Linked DNA regions of Danio rerio. The protein of the gene in region 2 binds, or shares a complex with, the protein of the main gene of each other region. Links are inferred from orthologs where the notes say so. Each region holds a gene or a part of one and is shown on either strand. Other genes may lie near its edges.

The links. The genes of interacting proteins can lie anywhere in the genome.
Region 1: cacna1c (region 2) and cacnb3a share a complex: the UniProt entries of both Homo sapiens proteins name them as parts of the calcium channel complex. The link is inferred for Danio rerio from reciprocal best matches to the Homo sapiens genes CACNA1C and CACNB3.

Annotation. Positions count from the first base shown.
Region 1 is NC_133198.1:15,636,228-15,640,518, forward strand, and holds the start of cacnb3a (voltage-dependent L-type calcium channel subunit beta-3a), read left to right. Parts: upstream 1-1,491; 5' UTR 1,492-1,739; coding exon 1,740-1,820; intron 1,821-4,291. UniProt on the Homo sapiens protein: Regulatory subunit of the voltage-gated calcium channel that gives rise to L-type calcium currents. Increases CACNA1B peak calcium current and shifts the voltage dependencies of channel activation and inactivation.
Region 2 is NC_133179.1:21,064,522-21,068,021, reverse strand, and holds part of cacna1c (voltage-dependent L-type calcium channel subunit alpha-1C), read right to left. Parts: intron 3,068-3,500; coding exon 2,727-3,067; intron 2,603-2,726; coding exon 2,576-2,602; intron 789-2,575; coding exon 672-788; intron 563-671; coding exon 441-562; intron 350-440; coding exon 252-349; intron 164-251; coding exon 1-163. UniProt on the Homo sapiens protein: Pore-forming, alpha-1C subunit of the voltage-gated calcium channel that gives rise to L-type calcium currents. Mediates influx of calcium ions into the cytoplasm, and thereby triggers calcium release from the sarcoplasm.

The DNA.
Region 1 (4,291 bases), on a different chromosome or scaffold from region 2:
GTGCATGCCAAAGCACAAACCAAGCATGAAGACAAAGGAATTTTCTGTAGACCTCAGAGAGAGGATTGTCTTGAGGCACAAGGCTGGGGAAGATTACAGAAAGATTTTTGCTGCCCTGAAAGTTCAAATGAGCACAGTGGCTTCCATCATCCATAAGTGGAGGATGTTTGGAACCACCAGGATGCTTCCTAGAGCTGGCCGGCCATCTAAGCTGAGTGATCGGGAAGAAGGGCCTTAGTCAGGGAGGTGATCAATACCTCGATGTTTACTCTGTGTGAGCTCCAGTGTTCTTCTGTGGAGAGAGGGGAAATTAACAGAAGGACAACCATCTGTATAGCAATCGACCAATCAGACCTGTATGGTAGAGTGGCCAGATGGAAGCCACTCTTTAGTAAACGGCGCATAGCAGCCCACCTGAAATTTGCCAAAAGGCATCTGAAACGAAATTCTCTGGTCTGATGAGACTAAAATTGAGCTCTTTGGAGTGAATGCCAAACGTTACGTTTGGAGAAAACCAGACACCGCTCATCACCAGGCTAATAGCATACCTACAGTAAAGCATGGTGGTGGCAGCATCATGCTGTGAGGATGCTTTTCAGTAGCAGGAACTGGAAGACTAGTCAGGATAGAGAGAAAGATGAATGCAGCAATGTACAGAGACATCCTAAATGAAAACCTGCTTCAGAGTGCTATTGACCTCAGACTGGAGCAACAGCTCATCTTCCAACAGGACAATGACCCAAAGTACACCACCAAAAAATCAATAGAGTGGCTTCACAAAACTCTGTGAATGTCCTTGAGTGGCCCAGCCAGAGTCCGGAACTAAATCTTATTGAACAGCTCTGGAAAGATCTGAGAATGGCTGCAAACCATCGCTTACCATAAAGCTTGAGAGGTTCTGGAAAGAGGAAAGGGCAAAAATTCCCAAAATAGGGTGTGCCAAGCCTGTGGCATCATATTCAGAAGACTTGAGGCTGTAATTGCTGCCAAAGGTGCATCAACAAAGTATTGTGCAAAGGCTGTGAATACTTATGTACATGTGATTTTTCAGCTTTTTCATTTTTTAAAAATTTTCAACAATTAATTTTTTTTTCACATTATCATTATTGGGTATTGTGTGGAATATTTTGAGGAAATAAATGAGTTTAATCTGTTTTGCTATAAGGCTGTAAAAAAATGTGGAAAAGGTGAAGCACTATGAATACTTTCTGGATGCACTGCATAATATATATATATATATATATATATATATATATATATATATATATATATATATATATATATATATATATATATATATATATTCCTTTAAATAGGCTAAAGATTTCTGGTGACTTATGAGTTGTAGTTTGCAACATTGTATGGAAGACTAATATACATGATGTACAGTACAAGAGAGGCAAATATAGAATGCTCTGGAGAGAGAGAGAGAGAGAGAGAGAGAGAGAGAGAGAGAGAGAGAGAGAGAGAGAGAGAGAGAGAGAGATCATTACAAAACGCGCATGCACAAGAAACAGACACATTGCATTTGTCCACCTGTATTACTATCTTGATTTACGAAACCCAGCGCGAGGGAATTAATCAACGGCTCCGTGCGAATGCAGTCAAACAGAAGGCGGTTTTCCTGTTCAACCGTGATACTCTCTTCTTCCTCGGCGGTCATGTGTGTTTCGCATCGCTGTTTCTTCCAGTAAGCACCAATGCATGCATGCACCCGCCTCCCCTGCGCTCTCAAATAGATGGTGCAAGTAAAGATGTCCAAATCTTCCGCAGACCCTCTGTCTGGGGTAGAAAGCGCTTCTCAGTCGCACTATTTCCAGGTAAGACTTTTGGGGGGGATTTGTATACGTTGTCGCAAATGGTTAATTTGCTGCTACTTGTTGTTGAGCAGTCGTGCATTTAAGCGCTTCATATATCCGCAGAGGGCTACAGCTACACAATCTGCCCGTGTATAACGCCTTTATCGCGCTTTTAATCAGACGCGCGCAGTTTTAATGAGGCGAGATGTTGATCAAATGTGTTGATGCTTCTCCATCCGCCAAACTCACATTTCTTGTTTTTTTCCCCTCCGCCCTGAGATTTCACACCGCAACCGAGGCCTCATCTTTCGGGCCAGGCATCAGTAGACACAGTGTTCATTAAACAGTTCAAACACAGTCAATTTCTACTGAGTTTTGATAAACGGGGTTACAATCTCGTTCAATACTCTTATGGTGGACCATTGTCGGTCAAGGTTCTCACCTGTAGCCAACATCCGTCCATTGGTCACCTGTTTCTGCTTGAAATTATAGATTAATCTAGTTGCTGTGTTTTTAACCTGTTAGCTGGTAGGTCTGCGTTAGCTATTATTTGGTTAAAATAGTATTATTTAGTTCATGAATCTTATACGGATAGACCACTTTGGACTGGCATCAACACTGTATCAACTGGTCATACTAGTTCAGGAGGTTTTTTGGGAATTTATATGGTCAGTTAGCATCAAAAGTTAATCATGTTCCTCGGCAGAGCTACCATCTTAACCTGATTTTACAATACGGTCTCAAGGCAGTTTGTTAATTTTGACTTATTTTTCTATTTTGGGGAACTGGTGGCTACATTTTAACCAAATTGCTGTTAGTCAAGATGGTTAGCTTTAGAATAGACAAATTTTCTGTAAACTGAATAGTTCTGAATGGTTCTAAAGAAAAGAAAAAAAAACATCGTATGACGAAGACAAAGTACAGTCAGAATCTAGACTAATTTTGCTGTAACTTACACAAAATAGTTTTTAATCATCCTAATGAAAAACATCAGCTGACTAAAACAAAGTACAGTCAGAATCACTCATTAAAAGTCACTAATTTAATTTCTGTATGGTAGACCCTTACTGGTCAAAACAAAAGTCTCACTTGTGGCCAACACCAGTCCATCGGGCATCTGCTACTGCTTGAAATGATAGATTAAGCTTGTTTCAGTGTTTTTGAACATGCGAGCTGGTTTCTGCACACCTAATTTGGCTATTATTTAGTTAAAAATACTTAATATCTGGTCCAAGCTTGTGTGTAGACCACTTGACTAGCACCAACACTACCAGCTGGTCATTCTGGGGTTCAGGTGGGTTTTTGAGAAACGGTATATGGTCAGCTAGCATGTAAACAAAGGTTAATCACAATTCTCAACAGAGCTACCATCTTAACCTGGTTTTACAATACGGTCTCAAGGCAGTTTGTTCATTTTGACTGATTTGTCCATTTTGGCGAACTGGTGGCTAAAGTTTTAACCAACTAGCAGTTAGTCAAGAGGGTTAGCCTTAGATTAGACCAATTTTGCTCTAACTGACACAAATAGTTCTGAATGGTCCTAAAGAAAAAAAAAATTACATGATGAAGACAAAGTATAGCCATCTAGGGATTAGTATTGTTAAATAAAGTTTAAAAATCACTCATTCAAATCCCTTATGGTAGAGTCCATTGGTCACCTGTTCTTGCTTGAAATGCTATAGATTAAGCATGTTGCATTGTTTCCGAATATGCTAGCTGGATTCTACACACCTAAATTGGCTATTATTTGGTTCAAAAGAGTAAATATCTCCTCCAAGCTTGTCTGTAGACCACTTTGGACTGGCATCAACAGTGAACCAGCTGGTCATATGGGGTTCAGGTCGGTTTTTAGGAAATGGTATAGGGTCAGCTGCATGTAAACAAACGTTGATCACGTTGCTCAACAGAGCTAAGCTGATTTTACAATACGATCTCAAGGCTGTTTGTCCATTTTGACTTATTTGTCTATTTTGGTGAACTGATGGCTACATTTTAACCAACTAGCAGTTAGTCAAGAGGGTTAGCCTTAAATTAGACCAAATTTCCTGTAACTGACACAAAATAGTCCTAAAGAAAAAAACATTAGATAACAAAGACAAAGTAGAGTTAGAATCTAGGGATTGGCATTGATGAACAAAGTTAAAAAGTCCCCCATTTAATTCCCTTATGGTTAACCCTTATTTATATATATATATATATAACCTGTCTCATTTGTAGCCAACATCGGTCACCTAGCTGTTGTTGCTTGAAATACTATAGATTAAGCTAATTCCAGTGTTTTTGAACATGCTACCTCATTTCTATACACCCAAATTGGCTATTATTTGGTTAAAAAGAGTAAATATCTGGTCCAAGCTTGTCTGTAGACCACTTTGGACTGGCATCAACACTGTACCAGCTGGTCATACTGGGGTTCAGGAGGATTTTTGAGAAATGGTACTGTACATGATCAGCTGTTTAGTTTGTAATTAATTGCCAACATACTGTAAATC
Region 2 (3,500 bases):
AAGATCCGCTGCCCTCCAGCCGCAGAGAGGGCACAGGCTGATAGCATGGGCCTCCACCGCTGCGGCCACTGGGACTCGCAGGAGGTGTGGAACACAGACGTGTGAACAGTGTCGGAGAGTGACTCCGTCTCAGCAAGGGACTTAACCCTGCCACGGCCAGAGCCTTTGAGAACCAAAAGATGAAAAAAGTGAAAAGGACAGAAAATAACCCTGTCATTCATGAGTGTTTATGCAAATGTGCATGAACTTACCTGATGATGCACTAGGTGCAATGGTAGTGCTGTCTTCTGAGAAACGTCAGGTCTGTTATGCTTTCTCAGACACTCCAAGTGAAAGGAAGACCGTCGACCTGTGTTAGGAAGGAAGTACATGTGACTTCATGGTCATGGAGCTACTCATTGTATAGATTCATCCTAACAGTAATAAATTTGCTCATTTACCCAGTGCAGTAGGGCAGAGGAAGGCCCGTCGCCGTGGAGACTGCCACGGCCTTCTCTCCTCCCCTACTTCTGCCTCCACCATAGGAGCCAGTTGCTTGCTTTCTTCATCCTGAAATTCCAGCCTGTACCCCACACACACATTCAGAGAATATATATATATATATATATATATATATATATATATATAAAAATACTCGTACAAAGAATCTAATAAAACAAGTCAAGTATTACATGTCCATGGAGAGCATGGCCTGATCTCTCTCATCTAAAAATGTTTCATCATATGTCTCATCTGTAGATGCTTCCTCTCGCCGTATTATAGGGAGACGACTGTCACTGGAATCAGAGCTAAACAAAACACACATAAACACACTAAGATGAACTAAAAGCACAACTGCACATGTTTAACAACACTGTTTTAGAAAGTGAGAAACCTCACTTAACCTACAATTAAAAACAATTCTCTTGAAGCTCTCATAAGGCTGTTTACAATGTGAACAATCAATTATAGCAGCGTAAGGTTTGTTTTGTCTGAAGCGCTGATGTCTAACAAACCTTATGACGAAGTTTTGAATGATTGTGTCACATTATAGAAGCACAATTTTTTTTTTTCATGAAACCTTATGATTTTTATAGTAGTTCAAGGGGTACTACATAAAGACCCTCCATAAAAGCAAAGAATTTGTATGATTGTTTTGCATCTGTTGGCAGCACACACACACACACACACACACAAAAAACAGATTAACAAAACAACTTAATACCGGCTGTTTAATGATTTGCAAAAATGACTTGTTAAAATGATTCCTTTGCATTTTGGTCTAAATGAAGAGCCCCTTAAAAATAGCCTGGAAATGACCATGATGATGAACTTCACACACACACTCATTCACGCACACACACACACACACACATACAGACGCACACATACACGCATCTACATTGCCTAGCAGAGCGGTTCTCAACTGGTAAGTCTAATAGCAAGAAAAATAAATAATTGAAAATGTAAATGCTTTCTAATGCAGCTAACCATATAGCACATGCCTATTTATAAAACTGCTGTATGGTACAATTTTTATTACAAAGTAAATGCATGAGGACTTAACCCATTTCAATAATTTAAATCAAAGCATTATCAAATCAAATCTTATAGTATTTCCTATATCTGTGATCAGTGTAACTTTAGTATTTATATAATATATTACTATACTGTGTAGCCTTTTTCTTTTTATATTTTCAGCTTATATTTTTGTTTTAGTAAACTTGTTTTAGTCTTTTTTTATGTATTTAAGTTCAATAAAGATTTTGTGGTTTTGATACTTTAAACTTCAACTTAAATGACTTTTATTATGTAATTTTATGCTCAAAATATCCAAAATGCAATAACGAGCAACTAAATTGTTAATCCATCTTCCAAATCAGTTATTTAAAAACCTTCAAACACTACCATTAGCCTACAATAAGTATAATAAGAACAGATTTTATGGGAAATTGTGTCCATTAGCTACACGCTATATTCTGTGCATGTCTCATCATATCTATTAACAAGCAAAAGTGACTCCAGCCATTTTGGCCAACATATTGTGAGGGAGTAGCATATGTTAATCATAAGTTATAAAAACAAAAAAAAACTCTAAAGCATAGCCTTTAATCATTAAGAGAAATTAAAATCGAATCAACATTGAATGAGCAATAAAAGGTCTTAAAATCGACCTTTGTGGTCCATGCAGCTCTCATATAAAAAGTAACATGATTTAATTATAAAGGATAAGATTTAGAATTTCATTATGGGTTATTGTAGCCTATAATGGATTTTAGAGTAGTTAAAGTTTGTAACAAGATCACTGTGTTCTTTGTAAAAACATTCAGAACATTGTGTCAGATCCATTTATCTTCAAGTAACATGAACCAAACTTCATGTTTTGCAAAACCAGTTGAAATCCGCTGGCCTAAGACATGCTCATTCAGTTATCAGCCAATCAGGAAAGCTGCTCACAAATCCTGACAGTCATTGTTAGGTACAGAGTGGATCTTTCAACACACTGAGATTCAGATCCACCACAGTATGGCAGAGCATACATGAACAGCCCTACAAAGTCATGAGGTCTCTCTTGGTTTCTGTGAGAAGAACGTACCGCATGAAAGTGTCATAGAAACAGCTCCTGGTTCACAAGAAACAATCAGGAATGAGACAAACCATAATCAGGAACTAGAATCTGACAAACCTGAACATCTACGATAACCCGTGCATCAGCAATCAAACACAGAACGCATGTGTCATCATACCTCTTGTTAGGAAAGCACCATGTGGGTCGTGGCAGTGGGATGGTGGTGAGAGGAGGCCCTGTTTGTCCGTCCACCGTGCTGACAGTAGGTTTGGGATAGCGGTGTCCGATGGCGGTGTTGTTGGCGTTGTTGATGTTGGCGTTGGATCCTGAGGAAGAGTAACTGCTGGGAGTGAAGGTGGAGTCCACCAGCTTCTGATGAGAGGGAGATTCAGCCTCGCCGGGACTCCCGGATTTACTGATGTGCAATGGCCGCTGTGTGGTGAAGGACTGTGGGAAGGAGACGTGGCCATCACTCTGATGGTAGTAGTTTACATGGTTACCGAAGAGGCCACCAGACCGCTGCAAAGATAAACATGTGTCACTTCTATGAAAATTTATCCCCGCCTCCACCTGCCCCAAAGACCTTGTTTACGTCTGGTATTACAGTTTTTCTCGGTCGCTTTGGCGCATTTACATTTGCACAACAGTTAATGTATTTCTCATTTGTGCACATCATAGTAGCAGGTTTTCATTCCTTCCAACAATTTGCAAATGCTTTTGGGCATGCATCAATTGCTTTCATACAACTCTCTGCTGTTTTATAACATTATAATTTGCTTATGTCATGTTACTCAAAGTTAACTAAACTTGTGAATGCTGAACAGTCATTCTATATAAAACTAATAGTCCTCATATTTTATTAATATTAATTTATTACTTCAGTTATTACATATAAAAATGTTGAACTAGTTGTCAAAATCTGTCAAGCAATTTTTATGAAAAAAATGTACAT